Linked DNA regions of Mus musculus. The protein of the gene in region 6 binds, or shares a complex with, the protein of the main gene of each other region. Links are inferred from orthologs where the notes say so. Each region holds a gene or a part of one and is shown on either strand. Other genes may lie near its edges. The genes, in order: Med31, Cdk8, Med25, Med23, Ccnc, Med12 and Med21.

The links.
Region 1: Med12 (region 6) and Med31 share a complex: the UniProt entries of both Homo sapiens proteins name them as parts of the mediator complex. The link is inferred for Mus musculus from reciprocal best matches to the Homo sapiens genes MED12 and MED31.
Region 2: the proteins of Med12 (region 6) and Cdk8 are in contact, whole or in part, in a cryo-EM structure (PDB 8TQ2), measured with the Homo sapiens proteins. The link is inferred for Mus musculus from reciprocal best matches to the Homo sapiens genes MED12 and CDK8. Residues at the interface, in NP_005111.2 of Homo sapiens: Pro26, Gln27, Gln31, Glu33, Asp34, Leu36, Asn40, Val41, Lys42, Gln43, Gly44, Phe45, Asn47; in NP_001251.1 of Homo sapiens: His143, Ala144, Trp146, Phe180, Asn181, Ser182, Pro183, Pro186, Ala208, Arg209, His210, Thr212, Lys213, Met273, Pro274, Pro320.
Region 3: Med12 (region 6) and Med25 share a complex: the UniProt entries of both Homo sapiens proteins name them as parts of the mediator complex. The link is inferred for Mus musculus from reciprocal best matches to the Homo sapiens genes MED12 and MED25.
Region 4: Med12 (region 6) and Med23 share a complex: the UniProt entries of both Homo sapiens proteins name them as parts of the mediator complex. The link is inferred for Mus musculus from reciprocal best matches to the Homo sapiens genes MED12 and MED23.
Region 5: the proteins of Med12 (region 6) and Ccnc are in contact, whole or in part, in a cryo-EM structure (PDB 8TQC), measured with the Homo sapiens proteins. The link is inferred for Mus musculus from reciprocal best matches to the Homo sapiens genes MED12 and CCNC. Residues at the interface, in NP_005111.2 of Homo sapiens: Ile6, Leu7, Ser8, Tyr9, Glu10, Pro13, Leu14, Lys15, Arg18, Leu19, Pro22, Asp23, Val24, Tyr25, Asn47, Pro49, Ala50, Val51, Asp54, Glu55, His56, Gly57, Ser58, Ala59, Lys60, Phe64, Pro66, Ile69, Asn72, Phe73; in NP_005181.2 of Homo sapiens: Gly3, Asn4, Phe5, Trp6, Gln7, Tyr11, Ile15, Asp17, Gln19, Asp20, Lys23, Gln49, Glu53, Leu57, Arg58, Gln59, Ile62, Tyr153, Arg157, Pro158, Gln161, Tyr162, Asp165, Leu173, Pro174, Trp177, Arg178, Ile179, Asn181, Asp182.
Region 7: Med12 (region 6) and Med21 share a complex: the UniProt entries of both Homo sapiens proteins name them as parts of the mediator complex. The link is inferred for Mus musculus from reciprocal best matches to the Homo sapiens genes MED12 and MED21.

Annotation. Positions count from the first base shown.
Region 1 is NC_000077.6:72,212,531-72,216,830, forward strand, and holds the start of Med31 (mediator of RNA polymerase II transcription subunit 31), read right to left. Parts: upstream 2,801-4,300; 5' UTR 2,459-2,800; coding exon 2,431-2,458; intron 1,686-2,430; coding exon 1,608-1,685; intron 1,344-1,607; coding exon 1,247-1,343; intron 1-1,246. Other genes in the region: 4930563E22Rik (uncharacterized protein C17orf100 homolog), read left to right, coding at 2,801-3,190. UniProt on the Homo sapiens protein: Component of the Mediator complex, a coactivator involved in the regulated transcription of nearly all RNA polymerase II-dependent genes.
Region 2 is NC_000071.6:146,300,312-146,303,374, reverse strand, and holds the end of Cdk8 (cyclin-dependent kinase 8), read right to left. Parts: intron 1,800-3,063; coding exon 1,674-1,799; 3' UTR 501-1,673; downstream 1-500.
Region 3 is NC_000073.6:44,889,565-44,893,675, forward strand, and holds the start of Med25 (mediator of RNA polymerase II transcription subunit 25), read right to left. Parts: upstream 2,801-4,111; coding exon 2,667-2,800; exon of another isoform or gene 2,581-2,666; coding exon 2,535-2,580; exon of another isoform or gene 2,501-2,534; intron 2,344-2,500; coding exon 2,219-2,343; intron 1-2,218. UniProt on the Homo sapiens protein: Component of the Mediator complex, a coactivator involved in the regulated transcription of nearly all RNA polymerase II-dependent genes.
Region 4 is NC_000076.6:24,911,008-24,914,029, reverse strand, and holds the end of Med23 (mediator of RNA polymerase II transcription subunit 23), read right to left. Parts: intron 1,368-3,022; coding exon 1,203-1,367; 3' UTR 501-1,202; downstream 1-500. UniProt on the Homo sapiens protein: Required for transcriptional activation subsequent to the assembly of the pre-initiation complex. Component of the Mediator complex, a coactivator involved in the regulated transcription of nearly all RNA polymerase II-dependent genes.
Region 5 is NC_000070.6:21,726,511-21,730,500, reverse strand, and holds the start of Ccnc (cyclin-C), read right to left. Parts: upstream 2,801-3,990; 5' UTR 2,618-2,800; coding exon 2,586-2,617; intron 105-2,585; coding exon 1-104. UniProt on the Homo sapiens protein: Component of the Mediator complex, a coactivator involved in regulated gene transcription of nearly all RNA polymerase II-dependent genes.
Region 6 is NC_000086.7:101,287,591-101,291,090, reverse strand, and holds part of Med12 (mediator of RNA polymerase II transcription subunit 12), read right to left. Parts: coding exon 3,459-3,500; intron 3,043-3,458; coding exon 2,909-3,042; intron 2,742-2,908; coding exon 2,580-2,741; intron 1,961-2,579; coding exon 1,849-1,960; intron 1,686-1,848; coding exon 1,596-1,685; intron 1,074-1,595; coding exon 964-1,073; intron 767-963; coding exon 631-766; intron 1-630. UniProt on the Homo sapiens protein: Component of the Mediator complex, a coactivator involved in the regulated transcription of nearly all RNA polymerase II-dependent genes.
Region 7 is NC_000072.6:146,645,579-146,648,339, reverse strand, and holds part of Med21 (mediator of RNA polymerase II transcription subunit 21), read right to left. Parts: intron 1,164-2,761; exon of another isoform or gene 538-1,163; intron 176-537; coding exon 61-175; intron 1-60. UniProt on the Homo sapiens protein: Component of the Mediator complex, a coactivator involved in the regulated transcription of nearly all RNA polymerase II-dependent genes.

The DNA.
Region 1 (4,300 bases), on a different chromosome or scaffold from region 6:
TCCGGTCTGAAAATTTGCTAGCATGTAACATTTTATATCTTCTAATATAACTTCAAGTCTATCATTTGGATTCCTAAAGGAATCTATAATTGCATCATGAAGAGCAAATCTACAGGCAGCAAATCAAGTCAGGAAGGTAACGAGGATAAAAAGAAATTTTTGAAATGTTTTACTCTCATTTTTAAAATTAGAGTCTCTGCCGGGCAGTGGTGGCGCACACCTTTAGTCCCAGCACTTGGGAGGCAGAGGTAAGCATATTTCTGAGTTCAAGGCCAGCCTGGTCTACAAAGTGAGTTCCAGGACAGTCAGGGCTACACAGAGAAACCCTGTCTCGAAAAACAAAACAAAACAAAACAAAACAAAAAAGAGTCTCTCTGTGTGGACCTGATTGGCCTGAAATTTGCTACATAACCAGGCTGGCCTCAAACTCATAGAGATCTACCTGACTCTGTTTCTTGAGAGCTGGGATTAAAGGGATGCCAGGCTAAACTTCTGGTTTTTCTGTTGTCTCCTCCTTTGAGAGGCACATCTAGACAGGGCTTACCTGTGTAGAGCTTGCTGCCCTGGAAGTAGCTCTGTAGACTAAGCTGGCCTTGAATTCATGTGCCCACCTCTGCCTCCCAAATGTTGGGATTAAAGGTGTGTGCCAGCTTCTTCTTCTTCTTTTTTTTTTTTTAAGTCAAAGCTATTGAGTTTGATAGTGTCCGTGTTTGTTCTTTTACAGTGAGTTAATGTGTACAATACATTTAGCACAGTGCTCGAAACAAAGAACACTCACTATAAAGAAGGGCAGTACCTCTAAAACTCCCAGAAAACAATACTTCCTACCTTCCTAGATTATAGTTTGGTAGGCATTAAAAATCCAGAAAGACAAGGGCAGTGCTAAGTGACAAGGTTAGACACCAAATTACATTAGAACTATAGTCTGAAACCAGTTGACTGGATCTTAGCTAGCCTGCATGAACAGAAGTGGTGTGTTCTGGCTTATATTACTTAGAGAGTAAGCTGGCTCCCATGAAGACAGTTGTTTGGTTCTGTTTGAAGGGAGTGAGGTAAGAATGGTAGCAGAAATAAATGCAATTCCTAAAATAATCTAAGTTACAGATGACAGTATCTTACATTAACTAAAAGCAGAAAGATTCAAAATATCATTTTCCATTCCCACACAGAGAAAACTGCTCAGTATCAGCACTTTGTATTTATGATAAAGTATACACAGATTTAGGATTATAAAAATTAAACTTACTTTAGATATTTGGCATATTCTGGTTCTTTCCAGTAAAGCAAATACTTAAGATAATTAACAAAAGCTTTGTCTTTGAAGTAACCTCTTTGGGCAAGAACTGAAAGACACAAAGAAACAATCCGTATGTCAACCAACCGCTGGACTACTGATTAGTAATCTCTAAAACAAAGTAGCTCTTAACATCCCTACCAACAGAACACAAGGAATTAAAAACACAAGCCTTTGTTTGCCCAGTTAACTTACAGACCAGAACAAATAAAATCCCATTCAAACACATCGAAGTAATAAATAGTATTACAAACTGCATCTCTTCTCAGAAATTAAGAGCTAGTTGCTTAAGTTAGTGATGTACTTAACTTACAATTAAGGTAGTTTGGGTTGGCTAAACATTGCACAAATTCCAACTCCAACTGAAACCGAAGCCGATTTCCAGCATCATCTAGGAGAAAAGACAAATATCAAAGTGCAGAAGAGACTTTCTTAGAAATTAAAGATATATGTATATGCGTGTGTGTATATATGTGTGTGTGTGTGTGTGTATATATATATATATATATATATATATATATATATATTCACTAAGTAATGAGGCCCTGTTTCCAAAACAAAAATAGTAAAACAAAAAATAGTAAAGAAATCCTTTAAAGTTAATTGAGGAAAAAATAAGTTGAATGGGAATTTACCACCTGCAGGCCACTTTGTTAGCGGAGATCACTGGACAGTCTGTAATAGCTGTGCGGTTCCCTAAGTTGTTATAACCACAACTATCAACTGTGATTACGTTAAGCAAAATCAATGTGCTACACAAAACCGAAGCATGATGCAAAGTGATTAAACAATGGAGAGAAGGCGGTGTCCGCATTAGAATACACAGGTTATCGATATTTCGGGCAAGTTCTTGGGAGTACCTTCAGCACAGACAGTGGAAGGTCTCAGTCCTCTCCCACGGCCCTGCACGGCCCCAAGAGCCAGGGTTGGAGTAGGGGTTTGAGCAACCCAGGAGCAAAGATGTTTTCACAGACCATAGTCTGAGAAGCAGCACAGCCTTCTCCTCCGCCGGTCCCAACTCTAAGGATGCCAAGTTGAACCCGAAAGACAGCGCAGGAAAAGGGAAAAGGGAGGGAATTTCGGGGCGTAGGACCATTCCCTTGGGGTGAAGACTCGGGGTGCAAGTCACAACGTACCTGTCTCCATAGCGACGGCCGCGGCCATAACAATCAGAGTGAGGCGAACACCACCAGCCCCGACCGAACCGCGACTTCGATTGGTGAGAATCCGGAAGCCACGGCTCCTACTTCCGGTCGCGGGGCAGAGTGGGACACGAGGGCGGGGACAACCTCACTTATGGGAAAATTAGCCCCACCTATCTGTGCAGACCCGGCCGGCTGCGCGCGCAGATATCGAGCGGGGCGTGCCGGAGGACTTCTCATTTTTTAGGTCTCAGAGTCCTGCTACCTACCCCGACGTAATACACCACCCTGACGTCACCTTTCCCTGTGTGACGTGACGCAGAGCATGATCCTTGGGCCTCTTTGTCCCACCTGACCAAGGTGTATGGGCAGGATGGCCTCGCCCCTTAGGAGCAAGTCCTCCGCCCCGCGAGTGGAAAGCACCCGCCACAAGGAGACATCGACTGTCCGCGTGGAGACGTCGTCCCACCGCGAGGAAACGTCATCCCACCGCGTGGAGACGTCCTCCCGGCAGGTTCGAACGTCTTCCCGGCAGGTGGAGACCTCCCAGCGCCACCGAGAGGGGCCCTCCCTCACCCCCTCCACGAAGCGACTCCCTCAGTTCCTTGAGGTGTCCTCCCAGCACGTGGAAACCTCCTCGCAGTGCACGGAAACGTCCTCCCGCCACGTCAGGGCGTCGTCATCCCTGAGGGTGGAGACTACTGTGCACCGTGTTGAGAGCCCAGCCAGGCAGAGTGCCAGAATGGCTCGATGAAGTGCCAAAGGTCCTTAGCCAGGACTGAAGAGTTGCCAGCCAGCCATCTTCCAGGAGAACCGAGCATCTTTGGTTTCATGGAAAGAACCCATAAATCAGTGTAAGAAACAGGCTGTGGTTTCTGGGGGCTGTTAACATGTATTGACATTGCAGCACCTTAGACCATCCTGTTGTTGACCCCAGTGTGCTATTAACTTGAAGCCAGCACAGAAGGTTTCAGACTGGTAGTGCAGTATAAACCTGGCTGATGGACAATGAGATTCTTTGAGTCTCTACACCAGGTAAGTTTTATAGTCTTAGGTCACTCTAGGATGTGTTGACGACTTGAAATTTGCAAAGAGGGGCCAAACTTGTCATGATTCTTGACCGCTGGCCTGATCATATACCTGCTTGAAACCTACAGGGCAAGGTATCATCTTTCATACATTATTAATTGGCCTTTATTAATACTTATATTTCATTATACATTTTCTCATGTTGTCATACATAGTATTCCACCCACACTTAAAAAATTAAATCAGGGGGTATAGGAAAAAACAGGACAATTAATAAACAATCAATAAAACCATTAATAATCTTGGAAGGGAAAGTAAAGAAGAAGCCATGACACTTGGCCTGAGGCGTGAGATTGACAGGATGGTAACTGAGTATTACTGCATGCTAGGTAGTAGTTAGAGCATGGCAGCTAGAGCAGTGGAAAAGACTAGGATCTTCCTCTAATGAAGAGACATGCAACAAAGGGGAAAGTAAGACAACATGCTGTTGTATTCCCGCGAAGGAAAGGCTGTCTGTCTTGTGGTAGAGAGTAGGGAACTCTTTAGAGAATATGGTCAGGGAAAGCCTTGCTGATTACATTTGGTCCGAGATTTGTGTGAGTGGACAGTGAGCCATATCAGGATCTAGAGGGAAGTGCATTCTAGACAGAAGGGAAAGTCTACATTTTTTTTAAAAATCAAAGATGTTTATGTAAGAGAAAGATCAGTTAGTATATGAGAGCGTGGTATAAGGAAGAAAACAAAAAGGAGGAAGATGCCACTTCATATAGAGTCTTGGAAATCTTCTGGGATTACAGTAAAGAGCTTGAATTTTATTCTGAGATCATCAAAAGAA
Region 2 (3,063 bases), on a different chromosome or scaffold from region 6:
CGTGTAAGGGTCATAAGAAACACCGTGAGAGCTAAGGTTGACAGAAACCAAACACAACCACTCAATTCAGAGGGTTAAGGAGGGACCTGTGTGATCAAAGGCATGCAGTATGGGTGTGAACAGGGGTGAGAAGACTTGGAAATGCCACTCCCAGCAACCCCCCTTTCTCTTCTGGTCAGGCCTACCAGTACTGATTCCTCAGCTCGTGGACTGCGCTAGATTGTTTTTAAAGGGATGGCTTCAGATTTTGAGAAAATATCTGTTAGCTCTAAAAAGGAGGAACCAAGGGTAACGGAGTGGAACTACCATTACCAGAACTAGCCGACTATAAAGCTACCTGTCCCCTGTGCTACAGACCTAGACAGCTGACCAGAGTGCACACCTCAGCCTAAGCCATCAGTTGTCACCAATAAGTCACTGGGAAGAGTTATACAGAGGCATGTTTTAAAATACAACAAAAGACCCTTGGTGAATTTGAAAAATATAGTTGACACCATACATTGATTTATGAAAAATAAATTTATTACATAACACCTTGTTTTTAACAATGTTCAATTTTTTTTTATTCAGAATACTTGTGTCATTCATGTAAAATAGTTTGATACAGTACGTTGTATGTTATAGCTTTTTATTTTCCCCTCAAAAGTTCTAAGGCTCTCCTACTCCCTCTCCTTTGCTGAAGTAAGGGCACCCTAAAAATGTGCGAACAACCTTTTAAAAAGAAAGTTAACTGAACAAAATTGTAATAGCACTACACTAGGCAGCTTCAAATCAGGACAGAAGAGTGCGGACTGACGCCGTGCCTCGCAGAGGTCACCGTGCCTCGAGGAGGTCACCGTGCCTCACGGAGGTCGCCACTCATGCTTTTGTATTCAGAAAGCATGCTCACAAATCAGCAACACCAACGAGGAAAAGAAAACCCTGTCTGCAACACTCATTTCAGTTTGCTGAACCAACAGGCTTCTATCAATGACAACATATTTAATTACTATCAAATAGCAGCTTTAAGACCAGTCAAGTCGTCATAGGTTGAAAATAAAAACAAACCTCTAAGTTGGAAATTAATCTTTGGGAGCTCTGAAACCTGTCAGTAGAAACTATGTGGTTCTTTTGTACTTTCAAAACAATCCAAGCAATATTCTTGGTCATAAAACACTGATTTATGTAGAAGATGAATCAACCCACTGATAAGACACTAAAAAGAAAGGTGTACCAAAATAATCTTTAAATCTTGGTTATTTTGTTAACATAATCTGTGTTTCAAGTACCAGTTAAACCTTGCGTCTGTGTGTACTATTGGTCAGATCACGCTGTTACACTCAAAGTCACCACACACGAGGACAAATGCTCGCCCTAGCACATTTCACAGCTTCAACTGCTACAGACTGTCACTGAAAACTATGCTTGGTCAGTCTGAACCATGTCAAGTAAACTATGGAAGTAGCAAACCCACAACACAACTGTGCTAGCACTTTCATTTCAAGTCTAACTCCAAACTTAGGTACAACCTGGAAGCTACCACCCCAATCTGTGACAACTGGTGGAACTCGGCTACTGGACATTGTGAAGATGTGGTTGTACAGTACATTCGCATGGCCCACACCAGGTTCCCGCGAGTGCCGCAGCCAGTCCTGCAGCATGAGCAACAGTGCACTGACAGACTCCAGCACAGCTCAGTACCGATGTGTCTGATGTGAGTACTGTGGAGGCTGCTGGGAGGTAGCTGAGTATCCCATGCTGCTCTGGGGCTGTGATGTGCTTGGTCCAGGGTTGGGATAAGCAGCATGTGGATTGGAACGCTGGAAAGAAGACGAGGGAAAAGCGTGATTCAGGGACTTCTCGAGGTAGCTTGGCCCCACGCCATCAAGGCTGATAGGGAAGGGAATCTTGTTTCAAAGAAGCAAAGATGTATAAGTTTCTGTAAGGCACTAGCTTTAGAATTAAAATATAAAAACACTGGCTAAGCAGCAGCAAACCCCTCAGCTGGCCCATACAAAGCAAAACAGAGCAAAAACAAACAAAGCTCCCAACTCTTCCCACATCAGCTTCTCTCCAGGAAGGTAAGAATTGGGACACCATGTGGGCAATTCTGATCATATCTTGCGACATGAGCATGAGGCACTCAGTGTGTATATCCAGAGTATATAAAAGCTCGTAGGCGGACTGCAGAGATGGCTCAGCGGTTAAGAACACTGACTCTTCTAGAGGTCCCGAGTTCAATTCCCAACAACCACATGGTGGCTCACAACCATCTGTAATAGGATCTGGTGCCCTCTTCTGGTGTGTCTGAAGACAGCAACTGTGCACTCACATATATTAAACAAACAAACAAACAAACAAACACGTATTTAACAAAACAAAACAAAACAAAACAAAACAAAACAAAAAAAGCTGGTAGGCATGGTGGCTCTCTGTAATCCCAGCACTTGGGAGGAAGAGACAAGATCTGTAGGGGAAGCTGGTCGGCTAGACTAGCTAACATCTGCAAGCTCTGGGTTCAGTGTAAGACACTGCCACAGTAAACAAGGGAAAGACACCTGATATCAACTTAGGGCCTGAACACACACACACACACACACACACACACACACACACACACACACACACACACCACATTCTTACATCCACATGCCTGTGTGCCCACACATATAAAAACATACACAAACTCATACATCCTTCATGAGCTGCATTCTACCATGTAAGGGCACTTTCTGTGCAGGGCTTCCCCAGGCAGGCCACCATGTTCAGAACACACAGCCACTCAGTCTTCCCACAGCTTCACATTCTAGTCACTGTTTCTACTCTGCTGCTGCTGATGCCGTCTGCAAGCGATTTCTGTTCTACCTTCCTCCCCACACTTAAGACATGGAGAACATCCAGGTCTCTCTCTTACTCAAGGCTGAACAGAAGTAGGTGGGATCTAAGAGCCCGTGGCCTTGACTCCTCTTCTACAGTGCTCAGGAACAAAAGCAGCCATTGGCTAAGTTCAAGGCACACATGTTTAAGCTGACTTACCAACTTCATTTTATAGATGAGAAACACTGAAGCTGTGTTTTGCTTCAC
Region 3 (4,111 bases), on a different chromosome or scaffold from region 6:
TGGTTAGGAGCACTGGCTGCTCGGATTCCAGAGCAGCTGGCAGCTCAGAACTGTCCGTTACGGACAGTTACAGTGTCCGGCACCCTCACACAGACATACATGCAGACAAATCATCAACACTGTTTTGTTTTGTTTTGTTTTTTTATTTTGGAAGGGAGGTTGCAAGTGTTGTGGGTGGATATGAGGGGACAGAGAGATGAGTGGGTTAAAAAAATAAAATAAAAGATTTATATAATCCAAGCTAGGTATAGCAGCTCAAACAAGCAAACCTAACATGGGTGAGGCTGAGGCAGGAGGATGGAAAGGACTGTGTGGTGTTTAAACCAGACTAAGGGCCTAGAAATGAATCAGTGTTCAGAGCACTGGCTGCTCTTCCAGGGGATCCAGGCTGCAGTCCCAACACCTCCATGGCACTGTGTAACTCCAATTCCAGAGGATCTGATGGCCTCTTTTGGTCTCAAAGAGCACCAGGCACAAGTGTTGCATATACAGAACCTCGTACACATTAAATTAAAAAAAAAAAAAATCTGTTTTAAAAACGTGAGTGCAAGCCGGGCGTGGTAGCGCACGCCTTTAATCCCAGCACTCAGGAGGCAGAGGCAGGTGGATCTCTGAGTTCGAGGCCAGCCTGGTCTACAAAGTGAGTTCCAGGACAACCAGGGCTATACAGAGAAACCCTGTCTCGAAAAACCAAAAAAAAAAAAAAAAAAAAAACCGTGAGTGCAAAGTGTCAACAATGTCAAGGATGGGAAGGCTGGCTTTACATTAACTCTAATCCTAACAACTTCCGGGAGGGGGTGGGGCAGTGCACAGGTCAGCTTTCCATGCCACCTACCATGTCACACACACACACACACACACACACACACACACCTGGAACACAGCAGACAAGCAGACATTCAACACACACCTGCTTCATCAAAACAGGATCTAGATCAGCACCGCTATATGAACCTTGACCACAACACACCTGTGGAATCCACATGGCGAGGTTAGCCCCAGCGCCCCTTCAACCCTTCCAATGCCCACCAGTCTACACTGTTATTCATTTGCAAACCAAGACCAGGAACAGGGCAAGCAGTAACTTTGGGCACTCACGCACTGCTTACTGTGTGCTGGGCGGCAGCACCCTACATGGCTCTGGTGGTCTGTCCCCAGGGATCCCACTGGTCACCCATTCTTATCTGGACCAGGATAGACTCACCTACCAAACAAGTGGTGACAAAAGTGATGGACTGTCACTTGGTCATCAAAAAAGCCTGGTGGCTTCCTCTTTGCCCCCTGGATTCACTCATTCACTCTGAGCAGAGCCAGCTGCCAATCTGGGCATCACTCTGCTATATGCCAGGGCATGATGGCAAAGAGCCAGCAAGGAACTAAGGCTCTGTCCACAGCCGCAGAACAGCCATCATAGCCATCACGGCCTCATGGCCGTGGCTCTTTCAGGCATGCCAGAGAGTGGATGAACACAGCCCTGTGAGACCTGACCAAACACACACGGCCTGGCTTATCCTCCTGAGTTCCTGACATACAGATGGCTTCATGAGGAGCAACTGTGCATTCTGAAATCCTTAAAAGTGGGGTGGGAGTGGGGAAACGTTATACAGCAACAGACAGTCAAGAGCACTGAGAACAAATACGAAACGAGCAGCACAAAGGACCCTGGGACCCGACAGTCAAAGAGTTATCTGGGAAGAAGCCATGACTCTAGGCTGCCTGGCTCTACAAGCTGGTCATGGTGGCAGGTGTCTGTAATCCCAGCAACCAGAAAGTAGAAGCAGTCAGATCAGCAATTCAAGGCTACACTGTGCCAGGTGTGGTGGCCCATGCCTCTGATCCCAGCACTTGGGAGGCAGAGGCAGGTGGATTTCTGAGTTCGAGGCCAGCCTGGTCTACAGAGTGAGTTCCAGGACAGCCAGGGCTACACAGAGAAACCCTGTCTCGAAAAAAAACAAAAAAAAACAAAAAAGGCTACACTGTAAACTGTGACCCAACCACGTAAGGAGCTCTCAGGGCCCAGACCCATCCTGCAGACTCCTCTGGAGTAGACAGACAAGAGGAAGAAAGAAGAAGCTGACGGTAACTGGACACTCAGACAGGGACTGTGGTGACCCACACTGAGTTCTGCTGAGTGCGGGGCACTATTCAATCACAGGCCACCCTGCCCACAGTCTTTCTTGGGGGTACCCATCCTGCCCCAAATGGAGGCAAAGCTCACTTGATGCCATCGAGCCAGGTGACAAACTCATAGGCACTGCTGGTAGGTGCGTGACATTGTACATAGGACTCTGGAGCGCAGTCCACGGTGTTGAACACCACAAGGCTGTACTGGGTTCCACCATACTGGGAAGAAAGGACAGAACAACTTTACAACTGAGATCTTTGGCAAGGAACAGGCCATCCCAACTTCAGATCATTTTAGAAATAAGCTGTGAGCCCTTCTTCTCTCAAACCCAAGACTAAGGACCCCATCTTTCCTCCCTCAGACACAGGGGTCTACCGGCTTCCATCCCGTGACTCGGCCGCGCACTCACGTCTCCCCCAAAGTCCGTCTCTGCAGGGGGTCCCCCGTTGAAGTACCTGCAAAGACGGAGGAAAGGCGGGGTCGGCACGAGCTTTAGGTTAGCTAGGGCGGCGGGAGGCGACGAGAGGTCTCGCTCACTCACTCTATGGCAGGCAGCAGGTAGTGCTTGCGGAGCTCCTCGAAGTACGGCCCCAGGTTTGCTGTCCCCTCGATCACAAACACCACATCGGCGACCAGGCCCCCGGCCCGCGCCGGGCCTTCGGATCCGGGGACCATGCCCCGCGCCGCCGACGCCAGCGCCGCTGACGCCGTCGCCGTCCCGGGACGAACAGAAGTGCGCTTGCGCGGTGTGCGCAGCCCCGCCGGACGTCTGGCAGCTTCTGCTGATGCTGATACGGCCATGTTTGTGCGGGGCATTTTGCGAGCCGTGGTTTTATCTCTACCCTGGGGCATACCAACAACACGAAACTCTCAGAATGGGCACAACGAGCCCCTTTAAGGGCCTCTTGAAATCGAGCAAACTTTTGCGCACAACATCAAGCACGAAATAAATCGAAAAACGGCACATCCGGTCACCATCTTGGAGTCGAAATCTAGTTTCCGACTCCGGGCTAAAGGGAGGGTCGGGAATCCGGTTGCTAGGCAACGCGTACCCATCCGTTGTGGTCTCACACAGAGATTAAGTTAATAAATTCTGTTCTTTCTGACCGGGAACCGATGAAAGAGAGCGGTCCAATCACATCATTGGAAACGACGTTGCTAGGCAACACTGTAAAGTTGCCCGGGACTTGGAAGCGAAGCAGTTGTTTTTGCTGGGAAAGAAGGGAATTCCAATTTAAGTGGAGGTTGCTAGGCAACACCTAATCTCTGTTTTCTGGGAAAGAAGCCAGAAACAGAATCAAAGAAAATACATTCCTTATTAAAAAAGAAAAAAAGAAAAGAGAAAGAAAGAAAAGAAAAAAAGAAAAGAAAAAAAAGAAAGAAGAAAATAATAATACTATATATATATAAACAGTGCAATAGTAATGTCTGGTATAGTCGAGAAAACTGAGTCTCAGCATTGTAGCTAACAGCATAAGCCGAAGTGAATATAAAATGACCTGGAAACTTATGTGTGGACAGAAATTTACTAAATAAAGCGTACTAATGTAGAAAGATACAAAGCCGCGATGGCGCACGCCTTAAATTCCAGTGCAGAGCAGATGCAAGTGGGACTGAGTTGCAGTATCAGTCTACAGAGTGAGTTCCAGGACAGACAGGGCTGCACAGAGAAACCCTGTCTCGAAAAACAAAATAAGAAAAAAAGAAAAAGAAAGAAAAAAAGACAAGCGATTTTTCAAAACGTAGGTGGCAGGCATCCAAACTTGGCTCACTTGCTTGCATTTGCAAGCAGGTTAGCAACTGAGACATTGCCCCAGACCTTGGTTTTTGGTATCTCTTCCCCACCCTCCACTCCCAAGGCAGGCTTTCTCTGTGTTAGCCTTGGCTGTCCTGGAACTTGCTCTGTAAATTTGTGGAGCCTCCCAGAACTCAGAGATCTGCCTGCCCCTACCTCTGGAGTGCTGGGATTAATGGCACACGCCACCC
Region 4 (3,022 bases), on a different chromosome or scaffold from region 6:
AGGATCTCAAGCAAAGAAATCTAGTCCTTGTGGCACAAAGAATATACTGAAGATTATGATAAGAATAACTTTGGGGTCATTCCTAAAGTTTCTGGAGAAGACTAAGACTATTTATTATTAGCCGAGAAACATTAGCGATACTGTGATATAATTTTAAGATAAGCATACATGGCATGTGAGGCTGAAGTGGCCGCAGGGCCTCAGAGGAACACACTCACAGTGCAGATCTGAGAAGTGGCTGGCTGGATTCACCATTATAGTTTTTTACAGAGAATAATTCGGGGTTGCAGGGTGGTGATGCTAACACCTGTAGTGCAGACACTAAGGCAGTCTCCAGGCTGTAGGAGATCATAGTAGCTCTTTAAAGAAACAGTTTATTTGTTCAACTTTGCTGGCTTTAGAATTTTTAAGTGCCATTTCCCTTCAAATTAGCACCTCAAAATCAAGCCTTAAAGAACTAAAATATGTACATTTAAAATTTGTGAAGTTAGGAAAATTCTGAGACTTGAAGACTCAGGTGAGCATGGCCCCAGAGAGGCGAATGATTCAGTTACAAAGCAGTCAGGCAATCAGACGTCTGAGCACGGCTTTATTTCATTTCTAACTTTCTGATGGTTTCATTTCATACAGAGAGCTCAGAGCGAAGCAAAACTCCCATAACCTACGTTGGTAGAAACTTGGCATCCCTTACTTGGAACCACTTGGAAATTTAAAATTTACAATAAAAATTTTATAGGCAATTAAAAAAAACCAAAGACAAGAGTATGAAACGTCCTTTGTTCCAAGTGAAGTACAAGGCCCTTTATTAATAAAAAGGCTCTATTTGGAAGGACATTTATGTACAAAAGGGTTTGTAATGGCCATTTCACATGTGTCGCATCTTCAAGGTAAGGTATACAAGATGTAAAGATGTTACTTACAATAATTTAAAAATGGCTAAGACAGGAAGTCTGAGAGTGCCTAGTAAAAGCCACTTGAGTATAGAAACGCCCACATTCCTAGGGATTTGAATAAAGTGATATGAATATGAACAACATGTAACTTACTTATCTCTTAGAGACAAAACATAGACAAGGAGAGGGATTCAGTATTTGAATCAGAATAAACCAATCTGAACATGGTGGCTGCTCTCGTTTTACTAGCACGGTGTTCAGATTTAGACGTGAGTCCACTCCTCTGCATCAGTCACAGTGCCTCTGGCTTCACTGAGTCACCGGCAGAGATGCTGGCACCTGGTTAGACTGAGGTGCTGGAGACCCGCTGTTGAGGGCCTGGGGTGGCACTGCCGGCTCCATCTTGCTAATGTGCGTGATGAATCGAAGACGAAGCTTTAAAGCCGGCTTTAAATTACAGATAATCTTCTCTACCTAAGAAGCGAGAGCACAATTACGGAAAAGCAGAGTCCACATTTACGGAGTGACATCAGCTGTCAACAGTACGCCACAGTGGGGAGCTGGCACACAATTCTTTTCTTACACAGGCAAGCACATGTGTACTCCCACACACATTGTGTATATACATTCTGTGTGTACGTGCCTGTCTCTGTCTACACATGCACTTCAAGAACTTATGACCCATCTACCTGCTTAGCTACCCTGCTATCCACAACTACAATTGCTCCCATGAGGAGATGGACATCTACCAACTTGGTCATCCTTCTGAGCCAATCTGAATGCAATGTTAGCAGAAGCAGAAAGCATTTGCAATAGTTCTCCCCAAAGCTGTCTTCTTGATTTTACAGTTGGACTCGTCATACTGTTAGACCCGAGCAGCAGGAATGTCTGCAGGGCCAGCACTCAGAACACGATAAGGAGACAGACGCACCAGCGTCCTGGCTTTCTCAGCTCTAATGCTCTTTGATCTCAGGGGAAGGACTGGAATGTCAGCAACGTTTCTTTTTGTTTTATTCCTATGTCAAAGTTTAGGTCCAAATACAAAGAATACATTTTGGGTTTAAAAATCTTCATCAGTGGGTTGAAGGGACAGATCAGCGGTTAAGAGCACTGACTACTCTTCTGGAGGTCCTGAGTTCAAATCCCAGCAACCACATGGTGGCTCACAACCATCTATAATGAGATCTGACGCCCTCTTCTGGTGTGTCTGAAGACAGATACAGTGTACCCATATACATATAATAAATAAATCTTTTTAAAAAAAAAATCTTCATCAGTTCTGCCCATTTTTATGTGTGGTAACAGAAACAAAAAGAAAAGCTTTCAGGAGGGGAAGTGTTAAGTCTGACACTGCTGTGAAGGTGTGAAGGAGCTTGGTCTTCCTGTCATCAGCTCCATACGCCAGTATCCATGCTGACACAGCAATTAAGTTTCTATGATGGAGCGGTGAATATGGTTAAAGAGCACACGCCAGTGTGGAAACGTTACAATGAAGCCCACTGTTCAGTGCTGTTCAGACAGAAATCCAACCTGGCAGAGAGGAAACAGCGGCCAGGCACCGAGGAGAGAGGCTCACTGCAGCCATGTGCCTTACTGACACCCCCAGAACAGCTCACAGCTTCCTACACATGCAACACACACTAAGGTCTTCCCACTTCCTGCCACTTGTAGTAGGAAATGCCTCTTCCTGATTTAGGGTGCATCCCTTCAGTTTCGCAACGGGGCTTGCTGTGTCACATGACAGAACAAATCTGACGCCTGGGAAGAAAACCTTCTGAGCAGTGGCGATGAGGACATCTTCCTGGGACTCTGTTCTTCAGGCTAAGAACCCTCACGCTCTTCAGAAACTCTCAGTAGCCTGCCTCTTGAGTAGCATGGCGTGACTTGTACTTGCACCACTGTGTGTTCAACATCCCATAATGTGCCCTAGCCAATGGGGTGGGGGGGGGAGCCTCCTTCCCTGAGAGGTCTTCCTAGCCATACCACCAGCTTTCCCAGGGGAGCAGACTATTCAAAGAGGCGCCTACTCACTGATGCCTTAGGGGGTTTTCTGATGTTCTGTTTCAAACACCACAGGGAAAGCTAAGAGATCGTTTCTTTATCACTGTATCTAGAATTATGTTCTCCTG
Region 5 (3,990 bases), on a different chromosome or scaffold from region 6:
TTGTAAAAAATATTTGTAACTTCCAATACTCCTCTTCTGAGAGAAACTTTAGGTCCTTTTGGCGCTCTTTCAACAGATCTTGTTTATCCAAAATCCACTGCAAACTAGAGAAGGTAAAGATTTAAAACATGGCATAGAAAGGCAACAGCAGGGATGGGAAGGGGAGGAGCTGCTTGAGGTACTGGGAGGAGAGAGGGTTGATATTGGGATGTAAAGTGAATAAATAAATTTATAGGAAAAAAGCCAACAAGCCAAAGCATTTAAAACATTAAGATTCAATAAGCTTACCATCTTCTACGAGGCACACCTCTCTCTGTCTTTATTTGTCTGTTTGGTTCTGGTTAGCTCTGGCTATCCTGGAACTCCTTCCATGGATCAGACCAGCCTCAAGCTCACAGAGATCGGCCCCTCCCCATCACCACCAAGTTCTGTGATTAAAGGCATGCAGTGCTTCACCCAGCTTCTTCTTCCTCCATTTATTTATTTATTTATTTATTTATTTATTTATTTATTTATTTGGAGGTATGTACTTAAAACATTGATAAAAGACAGTGTCTGGCTGGGAATGCAGCTGAGGTAGAGCACCAGTTTACCTCTGAAACTTCAGCATTAACTCTTCAGAATAGGTCTCTAAAATCCTTAGTAAATTATGTTCAACAATGAAATACTTGAGTTCTTCAATACATGCTCACCTGTTTCAAATACATTCAGACCTGGAGCAAATTTTATATTTTTCTAATTTAATCCCCTTTTCAATCAGTGTTTTCACCATCACCCCCAAGTTTCTCAGTCTTGTTGGACCAATAAAATCTCTTTGGTTTTTGTGAGTGCTATTTGTGAGTGGAATATATTTGTGAGTGCTTTGCTGGATATAAATCTGTGTCAATCAGTGTGACTCCCGTACTGTCTGGTCGATTAACAAGGATGCTGTAGACGCCATTTCAAACTCTCAGGTAAGTTATTCATCAGAGTTCTCTAGTTTTTCAGCAGCCCACTGGCAGCCTCAGCAAGATCGTTTGAAGAAAAAAACAAAAAACAGGAAAACTTGAGGGTAAAGAATCTCTTGATGGTTTCAAAGCTTCTCTACCTCTTTCTCAATTTCCTTCATAGTGTCATGTGTACCAAACACCAGCACACAGGTTTTCAGACCCTCTAGACTAAGAACCATCCTGGAAGATAGACTCTTGCTATATCCAAAGACTTACTACTGCCTGTCTTAGTATTATGTCACTGAGACAGGCAATCAAGGCATTATCTGAGCACCAGGATTAAGTACAGGCCCAAGCTTTATCCCACCTTTTTGGGTCATCCCCTTTTGTATTTCATTTTTTTAATGGAAACATCTCAGTGAGTGAGAACAATGTAAAATAATGTCCCCCAGTGATGCTTCATTGGCCTTTCATCTTCCCAGAAACACTTGGTAGCAAGGGAGGACCTGCTTTCAGAAACAGGTTTCCAAATTCAGTTTTCTTTCTTTCTTTTTTTTTCCCCCTTCTTCTTCTTTATTCTCAGGCAAAGAGGGAAACAAGCAAACCAATTCACAGAATTAAAATTTTGTTATTCTCTTCCCACTAAAATTTAATTAAACTAAATGTCTCTATCTAGTCCTGTTCATTTTTTATGTATTTAGTGGAAAGCCTGCTCAACGCTTAGCCCAAGCATACAACTTCCTGCATGTTTAACCAAATGTATTTAGAGACAAATATCTTTAAGATTACTTTAGCCCTTCCATGGTCACTGAAAGACATTAAAATTTAGTGATTTAAGTGGTTAAAGGAAGAGGACAAAATCTGGGAAATACACGACTTTAAGGCAAAATATAAGACACTGGCTAATGAATGAAAATGGATATATTTTGAGAGCCCCTGTGCTCGCAAATTCTAGAAGCATTAAAGTCAATTTAGGAGCCTGCAATTGGTGGCTCATGCCTTTAATTCCAACACTTAGAAGCAGAAGCAGAGGCAGGCAGATTTCATTAAGTTCGATGCCAGCCTGTGAGTTTTAGGGCAGCCATCCCTCAACGTGAGAAACACTGCTTCGGGGATGGGGGTAGTGGTGTCAATCTAGGCATAAGGCTGGGCCAGGAAGCAGCAGGTAGAAACAAGCACGACTCACTCCTCTCCTCTGAGTAAATATTAAATCTACAGTAAGGCGAATGACAAGAGATTATAATATCACTGCTATGAAAAAACAAACAAACAAACAAGCTAGCTAGCAATAGCCAACCATGTCCATCCAAAGCAGGGAACCTCACAGAGCTACAATGGGTCACTCTTTCCCTTGCCGGTGCCCACATCATCCCACCAATCAAACCCCAAATTTGAAATGAAACCGCCTCCGACTCCCTTCCCGGAGATCAAACCCCTTACCTCTTACCCATCCTTCGAGCTCACCTCCCCTCTGCTCCCGAAATCTCTCTGTGAGAAGAGGGGAGGCTCGCAAACGACAGCATCACGTTTCGGACCCCCGGCTTCCCAGGGAGGGCTCACCCGCAGCGGCCAGGATGGAAACCCCGAGGGATGGGCAGGCCCAGCCCTCCTGTGCCCCAGCCCCGGCCCCAGGCGAGAAAATGGAAGCTCACTTACTAGTGGGAGCTCTGCCAGAAGTTCCCTGCCATGGAATAATACTGCTTGCCCTGATACAAATGCACCAGCCAGCAAAGCGGCCCGCGGAGCGACCATAGACACAGTCCGGACGACTGTGCTCCTACCAGACTGGCTGGGCTGAACTCCACAGCCACCGCAGCCGGAGGAAGAGAACAGCACCCTCGTCGCCTTGACGCCGGTCGACAACACTGAGCGGCGTACACCGGTTCCGGCAGACAAAAGTTCCGGCCCGCCCTAGTTGCGGAGGAAGCTAGCAACCGCCCGACCGCCAATGGGCTTGTTGAGGCGGGAGCTAAGGAAACACGGGCGGAGGCTCCCGGTGGCGAGAGGCTCTCCCCGAGGTTTCCTGCCAATTCTCCTCCAGAGCGTCCACACACTGGGTTTCTGGTCTAGTGCGGTTTTCTTTTGGGTCCATTTAGGGATCTTGTTAATCCACGGTGTAGGCCTTCAGAAATAGCACACTGGCGTTGAAGAAAGCATGGCAGTATATGACTGCTTTTTCCCTAGGGCTGAAAGGAGAAATAAATGAAAGTAATTTTGGCCTTAAGATGTAAGTGCTCTTAGTAAAGTTCCTGTCGGTATTAAGCCTAACGAGTTAAGTGTAGACTTAACTTAGAGTAGCAATCTTTTTATGTCAGAGCCGGCTACTTGTTTACCTAAAAACATGAGCATATAAATGTACATCTAGCTAACACTTACGTTCCAAATGGGTATGCCGCAGAAATGCAATTAAATAATATTTAAATGTTGCTGTTATCATTGCAACTTTGCGTTCGCGTTTCGTACTGTACTTCGGCGGCAGAGTCAAGAACATGAGGAGTTTCAGGCCAGTCCTTGCTTCATGCTGAGACGCCATCTAGGGGAAAAGAGGAAAAGGGATGTAGATAATCAAGGATGTAAAATGCTTGCTGGTGCCCCAGAAGCTCTGGGTGATACTCAGCACTATATACACCTGCAAGCTAAGGGTATTCAATACCCTCAGATACGTTGTTTTGGGCCAGCCTAGGACAGGTGAGGATCTATCTAAATCTTTTAAGTTTTAATTTAAATTAAAAAATGTCTCTAAATGATTGGGCACACCTGAAAATTAGTCAAGAATTCCGAGGAAGATAGCACCAATGTTTTTCCTTTGTGAGTGGAGTCTAATTGAGATGTGGAATGGAGTGAAAACAATTTCTATAAGTGAAACTAGTATGCCAACTATAGAAAAGATGTTTTTAAATTCCACCCACTTAGGCACGTACACAATTAACCTGTGAAATACATTTATTCTTGAATTTGGATGAGCTAGACTAGGCTTCATTGTTATAACATTGTTATACCCCCAACTTAGCTTGAAAATTCGTCTCATTCTCATGGTATTTCCTAAAGCTGGCTAGTTCTT
Region 6 (3,500 bases):
AGAAAGTCAAGAACACAGACTGCTCTTCCAGAGGTCCTGAGTTCAATTCCCAGCAACTACATGGTGGCTCACAACTAACTGAAATGGGATCTGATGCCCTCTTCTGGTGTGTCTGAAGAGAGTGACAATGTACTCACATACATAAAATAAATAATTCTTAAAAACAAAGACACTCAGAGCTGGCCATGGTGGTATACATCTCTAATTCTAGCACTTGGGTGGCTGAGGTAAGAGTGTTTTAAGTTTGAGGGCCAGCTTTGGATATATAAAAGAGCCCCCTGATCCCCCTCCAAAGTAACCCCAAAATAATCTCAGCATTTAAGAGGCTGAGGCAGGAAGATTGCTGTGGGTTTAAGTGCAGTATGGGTTATATAATGAGTTGTAGGAGAATCTGCGTTACTAAGTGAGATGCTGTCTCAAACCAACCAACCAAACAAACCAACAAATTAGAATACAAGGCAATGGCATTCAGTAAATCCCCATTAGACAGATCAAAAAGAGCAGATAGGAAAGGGGAGGAAAGGGGGCCCATCTCACTCCCCACTCCCAGGCTGCACAGTAAATACAGTCAGGACAGAAGGAGCTGAGTTTCCAGCACCCCCAAACCTTGTTCTTGACCCCTCCGCTCACCTGAAGCTTCTTCACCAGGTTCATATATGCACGCTTGTTTTCCTCCATGCTGCCTTGCGAGATACTGGACATGTCTGCAGCCAACGTTCCGTTGATAAGCACGCTCAGCATGTCCAACACAGTAGTGAAGAGCTCACTGTGGCAGGCAAGCAGCCAGGGAGAAAACCAAAGGAGCAAGAGATTAAGAAAATGGGGCCCTAAGACGTCAGAGGCAGGAAAGGATGATGTCATCCCAAGGGTCTTGAGATTGTGTGGAGGAACCCAGGGCCATGGAGCCCGTGGTTCACGTGGCTGGCACGGGGTAGGGACTCCTTCAGGGTTGGGGATGCTCACTTGTTAGACTGCATGTCCACAGTGCCGCTGATGATGATCTCAAGGAGAAGCTGGGCCCACTCTGTAGTCTGCTGGGTACTACGCTGCACAGTGTCAAACATGCCCCCCACCTGACAGGACCACAAGGCAGTCAGACAGGTCAAGGTGATGATGGTCAGGATTTTGAGACAAGCTTAGGTTAGAACCTGGTTGCGTGAGAGCTGAGACCCACTGAGGCCCTGTCCTGTCACTTGTACCTATGATTTCCTATTTGATGTTAGGCCAGTGGCTGAAGTTGGTATGTCAGGATCTGTTTCCTTACTTATAAAGAGGTGGGACTTGTACTAAACAAATTCTGTAATCCCATTTAACATTCCACAGTGGGTTTCTAGTACTCTAGGGCCAAGCCAGAATGCCGAATATTGAGGCAGGCTTCCTGCAAGCATACGAGCTATTTAGTCTATTGGATCCTGACCACAGGGATTTGGTTCCTTTGATAATTTTAAGGTCCTGCATTTCAGGAAAGTGAAGTCAATATTGGAAGACCTCAAAGAAGCTAGGACCTCTATCCTCAAACCTGTCTTCCCTAACCTGGAGCTTCTTAACTGTCTTTTCAACTCCACCCCTTCCTCCTTCCACAAAGACCCCCTCACCAGGTTGAGCCGCAGTTTGAGTGCCTCATGCATTAGCTGCTTTGGTTTGCAATCATCTAAGTACTGGTTTTCTCGCCAATTAATCACAATCTAGAATAGAAACAAGTTTAACATGTAGCGAGGAGTCTCCTTTCTATTCCAAGTCATTAAATGTTTTTAATCAGAAAATAATGAAGAGTCCAAGCATGCAGTGGCCTCTTAGATGCACCCTTCCCCAACCTGATGTCACCTCCAAGACCCCGGATACCCGTACCTGGTGCACCTGGCTGTGGAGGGAGGCCAGGAGTCCCTCGCGCTGCTCATCCTGTCCTTTCAGACATGTTAGCACCAGTGATAAGAAAGGCTGTTGGCTCAACAGGGACATGCTAGAGTCACGAGGAGGGGAAGGGCAGAGAGACAAGAAGACCATAGGTCAAGAACCTTCTAACTCCCTTGTCTCAGATTCTACACTTAAAACCCGTTTTTCATTTCAGTTTTCTATGTGTCTTACTTTATGTGCATGCCATTTGTACATGCAGTCAAGAGGAAAACTTGTGGAAGTTGATTCTCTTCACCATGTGTAACCTGGGAACTGAACTCAACGCTGTCAGCAAGCAGTTTTCCCCATGGAGCCATCTTGCTGAACACTAAGATGTAACCTCCTATTTGGCCATGCCACTAATCTCTTAACTTGCCACATTCTTTTCTTCCTTCCTTCCCTTTTTTGTTTTGTTTGTTTTTTGAGAGATGGTTTCTCTATGTAGCTCTAGTTGGCTTAGAACTTGCTATGTAGACCAGGCTGGCCTCAAACATTAAGAGAGCCTCTTGCCTCTGCCTCCCAAGTGCAGGATTAAAGGCGTATACTACTACACCCCACCCAAATGCTCCTTTCTCGTGAGGCCTATCTATTCTCTACGTCTTGGCCCAATGTTTCTTCTTTCCTGGTCCTGCCACCTCCTCTCCATTCCACTCTTTAGTCCTTCCTTACTGACCAGAGCCCCTTACCTCTTCTGTTTCTGTCGATCTCGTTCTTTACGGGAAGAAGAGCCCAGGTGCTGACCCTTTTCCAGTTCCTCCCCAGCAGCTTTTAATACATGGCCCTGGACTGAAGTGGGCAGTTTGGCAATGAGAGGAGCCACCAACCATACACCAGATCGCTCTAGAGAGCTAGAAGACAGAGGACATAGGGTTTCAGGGGAGCCAGCTAAGCAAGGTCGAATAATCTCTCATTTCTTTCCCCTGGGCATGTCCAGTATCACTATTTCAAAACCATCATTCATGGTATCAGTAGAAAAAACTCATGAGGGACAAATCCTAATTTCTTTCTGGCAAACCTGAGCACAGGTTTGGTCTTGCTGCTGCTGGGCATGTTGCTTGCTGTACTTCCAGAAGATGACCCCGTCTCTGCTGACTGTTGGAAAACCTCGATTGTGGCCTTGGCAATGTTCTCCAAGAGAGAGTTCATCTCCTGGGAGAATAAAAGGAACAGAAGGGCTAAATAGGCAGCTAGCAGTAAGGAGAACCAAGGCAGGAGGGATGGGAGATGAGCTGAAGGAGGGCATCGTAGAGGTTGGCAGTAGGGACTTAACCGTCAGAATCTGTACCCTCCTGTACCTCTGTATGTCTACAGTTCCTTACTGTCTTCTCCTTTGCCACAGAAACAGGCTCTATTAGCACTGTAGGAATACTTGTCCACAGAGGAGGCTCCACACTCTCAGCCCATGTCCTTATCACCAGCTCCACGTGTCTGTCATTCTCACACCCCTCTTATCTCTCTCAGTCAGGAGCTTGAGGGTAGGACCTCAGTTCTATGATGGCTGATATCCCTGACACAGGGAACTGGAAGTGGGCCTGGGAGAGGGAGGGCCTGGGGACATGACTTACAGTGTTGGGGGTCTGCTTGATCATCAACTGTAGCTCCAAAGA
Region 7 (2,761 bases), on a different chromosome or scaffold from region 6:
TTTTTACAAAGAAGCTATAAATCGTAGAAGAAAATGTTAGTTAAACTAAGCAGACCTCACCTTCTGTAGGATTGGCTGGTTGATCTTTATTAATTGCTGTTTGAATGTTACTAAAAGAGGCAGGAGGACCACACTGCTGTAATACACCAATGGCATTACAAAACTGATCTGCAAGCTTGAGCAAAAGGAAAAAAGTCAAGGTTACAAAGAGTTTTCAATGAAAGGATTTTATTAAAAATGGCAACAATCTTCTCATAATAATGATCTCTATGCAAACTCCTCAGACAAAGGAAAATGAGCCCATTATTACTAACAATAACAGATTGTGCAGCTAAAACTCTCACTCTTCCAGGGATCTATTTACATCTAGTTTGGATTAAATGGTTTAATCATACAAAGAAACTTAAGTTTGGTTATCAGTCTAGGTAAAATTAAATTTGGTATCAATCTAGCTTAAAGAATCAATACATGAAAGTCAGGCTACGGTGCCAAATGCCTTTAATGCTAGCACCTGAGAGGAAGAGGCAAGCTGATCTCTGAGCTCAAGGCCAGCCAGGGTGTACTACACAATAAAACCAAAGACTTGGCCAAATGATTTGTTCTGAGTGGCTCTAGAGACTGAGCTCTCAAGAAAAGGCTGCTCACAAATAAAACCAGATCTCCATCCCAGCAGATATACAAACTGCAATAGAGACACAGGTGCTGAATGGTTAAGAGCACTGGCTGCGCTCTTTCGAGTCTTGGCTCCAAGATGACCAAAAAAAGAAGAAACAACGGTCGTGCCAAAAAGGGCCGTGGCCATGTGCAGCCCATTCGCTGCACGAACTGTGCCCGGTACGTGCCCAAGGATAAGGCCATCAAGAAGTTTGTCATTCGGAACATTGTAGAAGCCGCTGCTGTCAGGGACATATCTGAAGCAAGCGTCTTCGACGCCTACGTGCTTCCCAAGCTCTATGTCAAGCTGCATTATTGCGTGAGCTGTGCCATCCATAGCAAGGTCGTTAGGAATCGATCCCGAGAAGCCCAGAAGGACCGGACACCCCCACCACGATTCAGACCTGCTGGCGCTGCACCTCGACCTCCACCAAAGCCCATGTAAAGAGGCCGTTTTGTAAGGACAGAAGGAAAACTACCCTGGAAAAATAAAATGGAAGTTGTACTTTAAAAAAAAAAAAAAAAAGAGCACTGGCTGCTTTTGAAGAGACCTGGACTCAACCCCCAGAACCCACATGGCAGCTCACAACTATAACTATAACCTCAGGAGACCTGATGTCCTCTTCTGGCCTCTTCAGACACCAGGCAACCACATGGTACATACGCTTACATGTAGCAAAAACCCCTCATACACATTAAAAAGAAGAAGAAAAAGACTCCTGCAAATCATAACTCAACAGATCCTAAGATACCAAAGAAAAATGACTGTTGCAAGAGTCTGTTCTTTTCTTCTTCAGTGTGGGTTCTAAGTTAGATCTGGTGGCAAGTGTCTTTACTTAACTGAGCTGAGCCACTTTGCCAGCCTCCTAAACCATTTTATATCTTAATTTTATTTATTTATGTGTATGGGTGTTTTGCCTGTGGGTATACATGTGGACCATGAGTATTCAGTGCCCACAGAGGTCATCAGATCATCTGGGACGATATTTTAGATGGTTGTGAATCACTATGTGGATGCTGGGAGCTAAACCAGATCCTCTGAAAGAACAGCCAAGCTCTTAACTGCTGAGCCATTTCTCCAGCCCCATATGCTAATTTTAAAAACTAATACCACCAAACAAATAAAATAAGGGTTAGGTAGGTGTTATGTAAGCACAAGAACACAAATTTGGTTCCCCTGCACGCACAACTGAGACCCTAAATTCTTGCTGGTCAGCTAATCTAGTTGAAAACATGAGCTTTTGGCTCATTGAGAGACCTTGTTATTCATAAATAAATAAATAAATAAGGAAACGTAATCTTAGACAACTCTGGTCTCTACATAAATGTACCCAGGTTAAGTGCACCTGCATATACCACAGACACACACAGACACACATACACGCTTAAAACCACACACAAACACTCATACACAAAGTTGTTTGCATAGCATACATGAAGCCCTGGGTTTGATCCATAGCACTGATGGTGGTAGTAAACACCTGTAATCCCAGGATCGGGAGGCAGGAGGATAAGAATTTCAAGGATACCCTCAGAATTGTGTTTGAGGACAACCTAGGGTACATGAGAACCTGTCTCAATCAAAGAAAAAAACAAACAAGAGTAATCTTCCTTTTGTTTTTGTAAGTATTGAGCTACATATGCCAAAACTTATTCCAAACAAAATAAGTACTCCCCTGCCCCAACCCCCAAAGACAGTGTTTCTCTGTGTAGCCCTGGCTGTTCTGAACTCTGCTCAGGCTGACCAGGCTGGGTTCAACTCAGAGATCCTCCTGTATCTGCCTCCCAGGTGCTGGGATTAAAAGTGTGCATTACCACCACTTGGCTAAAAATAAGAATTTTAAAAGGTAGTCTGAGATTGAGAAAATCTGCTGGCAAATATATCTACCAATGCTAACAACAAAAATGTAACGTACAAAGCGCATGATTTCTTTTCTGTGAACAAAGCAGTTGCCAAGTATAAAGAAATAGTGAGAGGGTTAAGGATACAGCTCAGTTGATAGATGCTAGCCTAGCATACATGATTCTTGTTAAGTATAGTTTGTTTTGTTTTGTTTTGTTTTTCGAGACAGGGTTTTTCTGTGTAGCCCTGGCTGTCCTGGAACTC